Mus musculus: one gene and its partners. The protein of the gene in region 3 interacts with the protein of the main gene of each other region in a pairwise test. Links are inferred from orthologs where the notes say so. Each region holds a gene or a part of one and is shown on either strand. Other genes may lie near its edges.

Evidence for each region. The genes of interacting proteins can lie anywhere in the genome.
Region 1: the proteins of Efhc2 (region 3) and Ncdn interact in binary tests that used the Homo sapiens proteins (3 or more experiments, as listed by UniProt). The two-hybrid records come from large-scale screens. The link is inferred for Mus musculus from reciprocal best matches to the Homo sapiens genes EFHC2 and NCDN.
Region 2: the proteins of Efhc2 (region 3) and Clic3 interact in binary tests that used the Homo sapiens proteins (3 or more experiments, as listed by UniProt). The two-hybrid records come from large-scale screens. The link is inferred for Mus musculus from reciprocal best matches to the Homo sapiens genes EFHC2 and CLIC3.

The regions. Positions count from the first base shown.
Region 1 is NC_000070.6:126,750,630-126,754,831, reverse strand, and holds the start of Ncdn (neurochondrin), read left to right. Parts: upstream 1-1,402; 5' UTR 1,403-1,828; coding exon 1,829-1,861; intron 1,862-2,264; exon of another isoform or gene 2,265-2,315; intron 2,316-2,750; coding exon 2,751-2,891; intron 2,892-3,978; coding exon 3,979-4,202. UniProt on the Homo sapiens protein: Probably involved in signal transduction in the nervous system, via increasing cell surface localization of GRM5/mGluR5 and positively regulating its signaling. Required for the spatial learning process.
Region 2 is NC_000068.7:25,455,588-25,459,272, forward strand, and holds Clic3 (chloride intracellular channel protein 3), read left to right. Parts: upstream 1-1,255; 5' UTR 1,256-1,291; coding exon 1,292-1,327; intron 1,328-1,844; exon of another isoform or gene 1,845-1,944; coding exon of another isoform or gene 1,945-2,073; coding exon 2,074-2,183; intron 2,184-2,261; coding exon 2,262-2,387; intron 2,388-2,527; coding exon 2,528-2,634; intron 2,635-2,716; coding exon 2,717-2,892; intron 2,893-2,977; coding exon 2,978-3,136; 3' UTR 3,137-3,185; downstream 3,186-3,685. UniProt on the Homo sapiens protein: In the soluble state, catalyzes glutaredoxin-like thiol disulfide exchange reactions with reduced glutathione as electron donor.
Region 3 is NC_000086.7:17,225,942-17,229,441, forward strand, and holds part of Efhc2 (EF-hand domain-containing family member C2), read right to left. Parts: intron 649-3,500; coding exon 397-648; intron 1-396. UniProt on the Homo sapiens protein: Microtubule inner protein (MIP) part of the dynein-decorated doublet microtubules (DMTs) in cilia axoneme, which is required for motile cilia beating.

The sequences.
Region 1 (4,202 bases), on a different chromosome or scaffold from region 3:
GTGTGAGTAATCAAGAATAAAGCTTTAAGAAAGAAAGAAAGAAAGAAAGAAAGAAAAAAGTCCTAGATGTTTGAGAAAGTTACAGAACAGACTGCATGAATAGCTTTGCTTATATTTGCAAACACTGTTTTCCAAATAGCTGGAAAAATGAACAGATTGTTCTAGGAGGTCGTCTTTCCAATTTGTTCCTAGTTTCCAGTCTGTTAATCACAAGATAGCACAAGGAGAGTCAGCTAAGGAGCTTTAACAGCTTCTATTGTCAGTTGGGCACAACCACCGTGAGATGAGACCAGGCAAAGCATTCCTGGAACCCCGCCTGAGGTCTTCTACTTTGACTTCCTTCAGTTCGCTTTTTGTGCTCACTGCAGCCACCGCAGGACCCTCTAAGGGGCATAATTGTCAAAATTCTCAAGGAGGAAGGTTTTCGCCAACGAGCCCAGCCCCGCCCCCTTTATTCTGTATCAACTTTTTTTTTTCCCTTTTCTTTTCTTTTAATCTCGATGGGAAGATCATCAAACACCAGAGACAGCAACTCGGGACGAGGCTGCAGAGGTCGAGAGTATCATAAGGACCGCAGTGCCTCAGCCTGGTCTGCCCATATGTCAGGGAATAGAGGGAGCTGCCTGACCAGGCCTGAGTCCCAAAGCGGAGGGGTTCAGATTGGGACTCTGGCACCTGCAAGGCTAGAAGCAGCAGATTTGTCCTGTCCCAGCCAGGAGCGCCATCTCCGGGTCCCAACGCCGGACCAGCGTACCCGAGGCATCGCCCGTCCCGCCTCTGCCCCTCCCCTGAGCTCCTGGTCCTCGGCCTGGCAGTCAGCCGCCCCGGCCACCTACCGGGGCTCAGGGCCACATAGAGGGGTGCCGGCTCTCGGCGGCCTCCGCCTCCTCCCGATCCATGGGCTCGGGGACCCCCAACCTTCTCTCCCCTCACGCAGAGGAGGAAGAAGGAAGTGCTGGCTCCCCACCCGGACAGCTCCCTCTTGCCTCAGCCTCCCTGGACAGCGACCGCGGCCGGAAACGCCGCCTCCTTCCCACCTCCCGGGGCTCAACCCGGAAACATACTCTTCACGCTGAGCCAGTCCTCCTGCCCCCACCCTCCGGAAGCGCAATTCCAGCCGCGAGCCCAAAAGTGGGAGGAGGGGCGGCGCTGAGGGGAGAGCTACGCACAAGCGAGGACGTCCGGGCCCTCAGCCTTTGGCCGCGAGCCCTTGCGGGGCGGCCCGCACCTTTCCTCCTTAGCTCGAGCACTCAGGCCCCAGACTCGGGCAATTGCCCACAAGCAAGATGGCCGCACCGGAGGCGCCCCCCTACTGCTTAGCGCCCTGCTGTGCCATTGGTCAGAGTGCGGAGTGAGCCCAGCGCCGATTGGTCGAGAGCGATGCGGGGGTGGGGGTGGAGCTGTAGCAGCCTGGAGCCAAGAGTGGGCAACGCGGCGTGAGCAGCAGCCCCAGGCTCCCGGAGCATCGCGCCCGGAGAAAGACTTCGCCGCTCGGGGCCGCAGCCTGGTGAGCTCAGCCCCCTTCAAGCCCTCCCCTGCATCTCAGCCGGAGCCTCTCCGAACCGGCGCTGATCGATGCCGAGACTCCCCAGGGACCCTATCGCGACTCCATCGTGCCATATCTCGACATCACCGTACCCTGTCGAGACTCCATTTTGTCACAACCCCTTTCAGTATTTATCTATCTACCTATATATTTTTTTAAATTTGCCCTATCATATTTGGGGGCTGTCCCCTTCATGTCGTGATTTCGCTGTGATCTCTCCGTGACATCACCGCGCCATCGTGAAGTGTGATCTCATCGCTGCCCTGTCGTTCGACTTCATCAATGTCGTGTTGTGACCTGGCTGCGGCGGGACAGGTGGTGACCGCCAGGATCCCTTCTCCCCTTCTCATCTCTCCATCACTGCAGCCCCGCTTCGATTATCCGGCTTTTGGATTCTGTTATCCTGAGAGCCACCCGACCCCTCTTTCCTTCTCCAGCCAGTGCCGGCACCCACAGGCTGTTAGCGGGACGGACAGGGAGAGTACAGGGAGCACAAGGGGTTAATGTTGCTGCTGCTGCAGCAGCAGCTGCAGCTCCTGCTCTTGCAGCCTCTGCAGCCTCTGCAGCCTCTGCCCGAGGGAGGGAAAGAAGAGAAGGCAAGGAGGCTGCGGGGGCGATTAAGAGCCCTGGCTGGAGGGGTGGGTCCACAGGGGAGTCTTCAAAGCCTTCTCTGGAGAGCTTGCCTTCTCACTCCTGCTGAAGCCAGTCTACTTTCTCTGAAGAAGGGAGGGGAAAGGAACCCTAGAATGTCCTTTTCTTCCTTGTCGGCGTGAGTCCGGATAATCGAACTTGACCCGTGTCTGTCTGCATTCCTCCCTGTCTGTCCTCACCGCTCACTCCTCGTGTGCCTCCTGGAGAGAGATAAAACCCGGTGTCTGGTGCCAGGGGCTGCTGAGCAGTTGGGCCAGCTCCTTCCCACTTCTAGACTGGTGAGGAAAGCTGTCCAGCTGAGCAGCGGCATGCATGGTCCTCATATCCCACTTTTCTGGAGGTGACCTTGGACCAGGGTCCCTTCTTCATCCTAAAGAATTTGTAGGTCCAGCCTCTTAAAGGGGCTCCCCCAAGGGAGGTCAGTCATGAGGAAGCCACCCTTCCAAATCCACCCCCCCTCCCTCTGTGCTAATCCCTCCCTACATCCTCCACTTCCACCCCCGCCCCCGCCCCTCCTCTGCAGAGGGATGCTCAGTCCCTCTTGTGTTCACAGTTGGGCAAGGCGGGCATCATGGCCTCGGATTGTGAGCCAGCTCTGAACCAGGCAGAGAGCCGAAACCCCACCCTGGAGCGCTACCTGGGAGCCCTCCGTGAGGCCAAGAATGACAGCGAGCAGTTTGCAGCCCTGCTGCTAGTAAGGACCTGGAAGGTGGGAGGGCTGGTCAGGAGGGCCCCCAAAGAATGGGGTCAGCAAGTCTCCAGGGGTATCTAAGTGGTATTGGCAACCCGGAGGTACCAAAAAAGGCCTGAGACCTCTACCTTTGTACTCTGTTCTCTTGAGAATGGGGGAAGGGGAGAAGAGGGGTGAATAAGACTGTGGCATGGGACCACGGAGGAGGCTGCCTGGATTTGCTTTTTGGGGCGTCCCGGAGCAGATGGGAGCTGACTCATAGGGTAACAGCAGCAGGTTGTAACTAGTGCAGAGTACTTGTGGGCCGGGGTAGCTTTTCCTCGACCTGAGAGAGTAACAGGATGGGGAGTAACTAGCAAGAGGTTCTGAGAGATGACCAGAGTGATGATCAGTATGTCAAAAGTAAAGGGTCTTAGTCTGCTAGAGGAACCCAAGCTGGGGACAGCAAAGCAGGAGCTGCAGTGCTTGGGGTGGGAGGGGGGGGATGAGTTGGTGTGTGGGGGGTGAAGGGAGGAGGGAGTGCAGCAGTTGCTTGTTTGCCATGGCAACAGGGAGAAGGCTCTGGAGTCAAGGGCTCACACTGCAGCAGAGGAGGTGTTTAGGCGAAACGTAAGGGGAAATGTTTTGACATGCGGAGCAACGAGACACAGGAGCCATTTCCCGTGAGAAGGTGTCGGAAATGGATCAGAGACTTCTCTGGAGAGAAGTCCTTAGGGAAGGACCCTGAATCCTTAGAGGATTTGAGTTCTGAAGCCCCTTGCCTCCCAGGTCTTAGGCATATGGATTAATGGATTAGAGACCAGGAGGCACTCCTCAGCTGGCCAGGTGATGACCGTTTGCCCAGATGTGTAGTGAAGGGCCACTGGACAAACTCCTTTCCATGAGGCAATCAGACATGATAGGGATACCAGAGGTCACACCTGTCTTGTCTCCAAGGAGGAAGGAGGAGCTGGACCAGATGACCCCAGAATGGATCCCATTGCGTAACCCATTCCTGCAGTGCCCAGGGAACAGGGTAGGGACAGTCTTTGCTACAATTCTTCTCACTCTGCTGATAGTGTATTACCCTCCCCCCCCTCCCCCCCCCCAGGTAACGAAGGCAGTCAAAGCAGGTGACATTGATGCCAAAACCCGACGTAGGATCTTTGATGCCGTTGGGTTCACCTTTCCCAACCGACTCCTGACCACTAAGGAGGCACCTGATGGCTGCCCTGACCACGTTCTCCGGGCCCTGGGCGTGGCCCTGCTGGCCTGTTTCTGCAGCGACCCTGAACTAGCCAGCCATCCCCAGGTCCTGAACAAGATCCCCATCCT
Region 2 (3,685 bases), on a different chromosome or scaffold from region 3:
TCTGGTGACCACTGGCAGTTGGGAAAGGCTTCAGGGCTGCCCCACAGTGATGATTTGTCATCTGCAAAGGACAGAAAACCACAAAACAGAAAGCTGACCATGTCAGTAAGAAGCCAAAATAAAACTGGCTCTAGGAGTCAAGAGTCGGATAGAGGAGGAACCAAGCCTCCAACACAAATCCAGGTTCCAAGGATATCAGAGCTGTGTTTCACTTCAACTCTGGCTGAGGTCAGGGAAATGACAAGGCAGGGCTAAGGAGGAGGGAAGCCTGGCACAGCTGAGGCCCTGACTAGGAGTCAGGCACGTGAGCAGGTGAGTGGGCAGGTATGGAGCCACCTTGGCTGCACGGTGTAGCCTGGAAGGCACCAGCCTACCAGAGACAGGAAAGCAATCCCTAGGTCCTGGTCTTAGCCAGTGGGCAGTGCTGGTCCTCTGTGAGCACAGGTTCTAAAGAACAGCTCTCCTAGATGGCTGCTGCTGTGAAACGCAGGCCGAGATACAAAGAATGCCAAAGGCACTCCCACTGTGAAGCCCAGTGGGCTTGGGAAGGCCCAATGGCAGATTTGTGCCTGGTAGGGTCAGACCATACTGGCCCTTTCCTTCCTGCTGGGGACCTCATCCCCATTTCAGCCACTAGGTAGTAGTTTCTAACCCTTCCTGGTGCCAACTGAAGGTCAAGGTTAAGAGTAAGAAAGCTGCTCTGAGCCTGTGTGGACAGGATGGGGGCACGGAGTCCACTGCTCAGATGGGTTAAACACCAAAACCAGGCTTATCAGCCTGCCGGCCGCGAACATGTTTGGAATGCGGGTCCGCCCTACCTGACTGGGTTTTGTCAGAGGGAGGGGGCATCTCCCTCGGCTTGTCACACAGACAGGTAAACTGAGGCATTTCCCACTCATTCCCACCCCCTGGCTGGCTTTCTGGGATAAGGACTTGACAATGGAGAATGAGCCGCAGAAGGCTGTGAGGCAACTCCTGAGCTGAGATCAACCCAGTGTGCGTTCACCACACTAGCTCCCCTCACAACCACACTGAGGCTTCAGTGTTTTGCTGTGAGCCAACTTCCCATACTCACACCTGGCCCTGAGACTCAGGCCTCCTGTGGTCACTGGTAGCACGGACACTCTGGTCTTATACAGGCTCTGCTCTGGAAACCTGTCTGTTGCCTAGGTGGCTCCTTGGGGCGGGCCCACTGCCTGGGGAGGGTGGGGCATCAGAGAGACTTAAAGAGCTCCCAAGGCACACCCTGTGCCCTGGGCTGCTGCTGCCGCCGGATGCCTCGGCTCCCACCATGGCTGAAACCACCAAGCTCCAGCTCTTTGTGAAGGTTCTGGGCAGGCTGGGCTGGAAGAGGAGCTGGGCTTTTTTCTTCTTGTTGTTTGGGAGGAGGGGTGGGTCTTCCTAATGGTGCCCAAGTCCCTATCCCTGTGGTGGGTTTGAGTTGCCCCACACAGGGCTGAGGAGAGCCAGGCATCCTGGGTGAGGAGCTACCATAAGGAGGATCAGAGAGCCTGGGTCCCGCTCTTCACTTTGGCTCGTGGACCTGGCCCAGCTCTGGGAGAAAGCTTCTTAGTGAGGAGATAGATGTCAGTCTGGTAGCTGGCACCTGGCATTTAGTAGAGATTCAGGGTCATGTGCCAGACTGGGGGCTTGCCAGAGATGGCCCTTTTAGCTATCAGGCCAGTGCTCAGATCTGAGTGGGAGCAGGTCCTGGCCTCCTCTTTGGTCTCTTCCCTCCCTTCCCTGAGCTGTTAGCCTCAATACCCAGTTGTGTGGGTTAATCACTAGAGGATGAATCTCTGGCCTGCCCCACCCTGCAGCCAGTCTCTGTGACTGGAACCCTCTGGCAGGACCCCAAGCCTAGGCCTCTAAGCTCCCAACTTCTTTTGTCCTCCCCATTCCAGCGATCAGTTCAAGGGCCCTCACTAGACACTTGTAGATGCCATGCTCAACCAGGCCAGAGCCCTAGCCTGCCTCCAGAGCCAATGGCAGTGGGAGGCAGAGCTCCACCCAGCCAGGTGTCAGGATTCCTGGGTCTGCTCAGAGCCTGACACCTCTGTTCCACCCACCCAGGCCAGTGAGGATGGCGAGAGCGTAGGACACTGCCCTTCCTGTCAGCGGCTCTTCATGGTCCTACTCCTCAAGGGTGTGCCCTTCACACTCACCACAGTGGACACTCGAAGGTGAGACACCACCCTGGACCCTTCCCTGGCCTCTGCCCACCTCGGGCCAGCCACCTCCCTTCTGCCTGGTGTTCACAGGGCATTGGATGTGCTGAAGGACTTCGCACCAGGCTCACAGCTGCCCATCCTGCTGTACGATGGGGATGTCAAGACAGACACACTGCAGATCGAGGAGTTTCTGGAGGAGACGTTGGGGCCACCTGAGTGAGCATCTGATGGGGTGGGCAGGAGGGCAAAGATGGGACCTCCTTGGGGGACACCTGGGAGAGTGCCTAGGAAGGGTGCTTTGAGGCACAGTGTACTTGAGGGTCTGACTGGAATTCTCAAACTATTCACACCTATAGCTTCCCTAGCCTGGCACCCAGGTACAGGGAGTCCAACACAGCGGGCAATGACATCTTCCACAAGTTCTCTGCCTTCATCAAGAACCCAGTGCCTACACAGGACAATGGTGAGACACAGGCCAGCAGGTCCAGGCAGGAGGGCTAACCCAAGGTCAAGACAGAGTCCTCATGGTTATCATTGCCCCCAAGCCCTGTATCAGCAGCTGCTCCGGGCCCTGACCAGGCTGGACAGCTACCTGCGTGCACCACTGGACCACGAACTGGCACAGGAGCCACATCTTCGTGAGTCCCACCGCCGCTTTCTCGATGGTGACCAGTTCACGTTGGCTGACTGCAGTCTACTACCCAAGCTGCACATTGTGGATGTGAGTGAGGGACCAGCGGGTAGGGTGTGGGTGTGGGTGTGGGGCCATCGAGTGAGACCCTCACCACGCTCTGCTGCACCCACAGACCGTGTGTGCACACTTCCGCCAGCTGCCCATCCCCGCGGAACTGTCCTGCGTTCGTCGCTACTTGGACAGTGCGTTGCAGAAGAAGGAGTTCAAGTATACGTGTCCACACAGCGCAGAGATCCTGGCTGCCTACCAGCCTGCTGTGCACCCCCGTTAGCCCCACTACTTCCATACACTCATCTGCAGCCCCATAAAGCATCTCTGCCCCAAGTAATTGTGTCCTGAACGTCCAAATGGCCAGAGACCCACAACTACACCACCTCAACCCTATGGTGAGAAACATAGTTAAAGGTGGTGTCCCCAAATGCTGAAGACAAGAGAGTCCACTGGACAAAGCACAATTCACCCTCCTCCATGGTGTGGAACAAAGGCCTGGGGCCCTTTACAGCTGCCCCAGCACGGAGGCATCAGGGATCTAGGGGATTGGATTAGTCTCCCAAACCAGTCAGGCCAGAGCTGGGCGGGGTGCCCTGGATGGCCAAGGAGGGTGGGGAGCCCCATGAAGCTCAGCCTCTGGGATCCTGGCCAAGTGGGTGGGGGCAGGCCTCCATTCCTCAGTCCAGCCACAGACTGTGGGCCAACCATATCTCCTATAAGGGGCTTCTACTGTCTAATGCCCTCTGGTGGCCTCCAAGACAACGCCTCTGTGCTACCTGGGTGGGGCTTGCAAGTGTGGGACATCTAAGCCTTAGAGAGTTCTGGCTCT
Region 3 (3,500 bases):
CTGAGTAGGTGCGTGTGTGTGTGTGTGTGTGTGTGTGTCTGTAGCCAGATCAATACCATGGGATCTCTTTGGTAGGCTATAGGAGCTTTTGAGTATTCCACTCAAAGCTCCTCAATTAACTTCAAGAGTGTCCAAAATTTCATAATACAGTGATAAACAAAAACTAGGTTCCTTCCTTTACACATCTTCCTTTCATTTACTTGCCATAAGTGTGCTAGCTAGTTTGGTTTTTTCCCTTGGGGGGGGATGAGGGGGGCTGTCCTGTTGTTTGATTTGTCAACTTGACATAAGCAAGGGTCCTTTGGGAAGAGGAAAACTGTCATCACAGAGCCATCCACACCATTCCAAACAATGATTCAAACCTCTTGGCCCACAAACATACTCAAAACTGCTTACCTTGGGAAGCTTACCCCGCCGAAGGAATGATGACATAGCATCCCGGCCTGAATTAGATGGCAGTACTTCCCTGATTTCAACAGTACCATCACACAGGAAGTAATGCAGGACAAATTCTCTACGGTCCCCAAACAGTGAGGTTGAATCATCCCACAAGCAGAAGAAACGCAAAACCTTCCCATCATACTGGATGAATCGTTTCAGGGTGTCAAAAGACTGATAGGGACGAAAGGGATCCACAAACTCTAATGTCTGCAAATGGAGAAAGAGGAAGAAATGTAGCAAGCTTTATGTAGTCATGTCTGGGAGGCAGATAGTATAAAGTTTTTTTTTTTTTTCTGTAGACGATTCTGTCATCCTTTTTAAAAAGCTTTTAATTAAATACTATGCCATACAGGTATACAAATTCACAGTCAGTTTTAACCTTAAGAATACAGGTAAATATTAGGAAGCTTTTCATAATTGTTAAATAACATTTTAACATACTAAACTATATTTCCGGGTTATGTTGGAAGTGGACTTTTCTTAAAGCCTTAAATTTTATTAAGAATGAACAAACCTAATTTATAGTGAGAAACCAGAACAGTAATTGTGCCCTCCCCCGAGCCTTGAGCAGGCTGGCTCAGACCTTGTTTGCCACAGTTGCTAGCTCACCTAGGGTGGAGTCCTCTGACCTAAGTAAAGTCTACTGTCTTGCCACATCTGCTGCTTCCTCCAAGATGCCACTACCTGCTGAGAGGCTGAACCTGTTTTCCTGACAAGATCCTGACAGAGCAATGAGATCCTGGCAAAGTGGGAGATGGGTTCCTCTCTTTATAAACTCAGATTCATAAGTAATCATTGGGCCTTGATCAGAGAAATTTGTCTTGGCTCATTATTTCTCTCGCTGCCTTTCCCATCCAACCCCAGCTTGTAGTGGCCACTGGCAGCTACAAGTAATTGTTTCTGTAGAGGGGATATATCAAGAAGGAGTGTCTTCAGGAGACTGGACTAAAAAGGGAAACAAAGGAATATTTTGATGTTATGGGCAATAGTCTGTATCTTTTATTTTTTTGTTTTCTGCCATGTTGTTGAGCATCTTACACATGCTGTGGAAATGTTCTATGGGTGAGCTACATCCCCAGCCCCAAATATTTTACATCTTTTCATACTGGTTACTTTGGTGTACACATTTTCCAAACACTGACCTGCATTAACTTAAGATTTGACCTGCATTGATTTAAGATTTATAAACCCAATCCTAATCTGATTATATTTTTACTTTAAAAATGTGTCTTTCTCCGGGGCCTAGCAAACACATAAGTAGATGCTCACAGTCAGCTATTGGATGGAGCACAGGGCCCCCAATGGAGGAGCTAGAGAAAGTATCCAAGGAGCTAAAGAGATCTGCAACCCTGTAGGTGCAACAACATTATGAACTAACCAGTACCCTGGAGCTCTTGTCTTTAGCTGCATATGTATCAAAAGATGGCCTAGTAAGCCATCACTGGAAAGAGAGGCCCATTGGACTTGCAAACTTTATATGCCCCAATACAGGGGAATGCCAGGGCCAAAAAATGGGAATGGGTGGGTAGTGAAGTGGGGGGGAGGGCTTTTGGGATAGCATTCTAAATGTAATTGAGGAAAATACGTAATAATAAAAAATATTTTAAAAAATGTGTCTTTCTACCAGAAATCACTCATGTCTATGTGTATGCATGCATGTGCATGTGTACATACATGTGTGTATATGCAAAGATAAGAGAAAGAAATGTATTTGTGGTTTAATTTTGCTCAAAAAATTTCAGATATCCAAGAAATGGACATAGGAACATGGCCAATGGAGAACTTCCACTCCACACAGAAACCCTATCTAGCTAGACTCTGCTCTAGAATCATTGAGATCCATGGTCTTCTTGGAGCATCTTTCCTTCAATTTGCAACCTCTTAGCTCTGTCTTAAAGTATAGCTGCCTCCATTCTATCTTGTATAAGCAAATGATGTTGTTATGTAAGAAAAGACTCACTTGGGAAATGTTATCCCAAATTGAATTATATAATCATTCTATAAATTCCTGAAATTTTGGGTTTATTCAGGGCAGTCTAGCCTTACTCTTATTTCAAGAGGAAAACAAAAAAGCCTTCTAGAGGCTCTACTATCCTTATCCTTGATATTTAAGTGAAATTATGGGACCTCTGCTTTTATGAATTAAAATGCTTTTAATGTATAAGTGCCAAGAAATGCATTATTGGTCATATACCATTAAGATCTTGTTCAGTTTAAGCAAAATAGTTTAACTTTACATATCAATGCAGCAGCAAACACTTAACTAAATCCATAAAAGCCTCTTATTAAACTCTTAATTTTCCCAAGATTTCTATCTTTATTCATGAGTTTTCTTTGCCCTAATGGAATACCAAAATGGTTCCCAAAGTCTGAAGGAAAATTATTTAGAACATCTGAGTTTCCTTGGTATTTACCTCCAATTATTGCCACAAACTTTTTCTTCCCTAGAAGACTATAAGATCTGACAGTATGTTGAATTTTATGAAATTAATATAATTTACCATCATCCACAATCACTATCATACAGTAATAACTGTTGGTGGATACATGTAGACATATGCAAGGAGCAACAACTTATATGGTCCTTTTTCCTTCAGATTCTCTCTGAGGCTTCAAAAGACTTTGTATTTATCATTCACGGCACATGAAAGACATAAAAAATGAGCCCAAACCTCGAAAATCTTTTACATTGATATAAAGTTATTCTACCTTAGATATTCCAGGACTAATAATACATATACTTCACCGGAGGACTTTATACCTACAACATCAAAGAATAATTTGCTAAGGCGAAGAGCCAGGTATAGGGGAATGATCTCACACATAACTTTTAATGAGAGATTAAAAAACAGAATCAAAGGGAATTTCATTTTAAATTTTGTTAATCTGAAAGGAAATGAATTATAAGTTTTGAAAACAGTAAAAATCAGATAAAATCAACCTATGGAGAGAACAATTATAATAGTAGTTATCCTGAAAAATCAGGAGTGAGTGGGTTGGTGAGCTGGGGAGGGGAGTGGGATAAGTATTTTTGGAGGGGAGACAAGGAAAGGGGATAA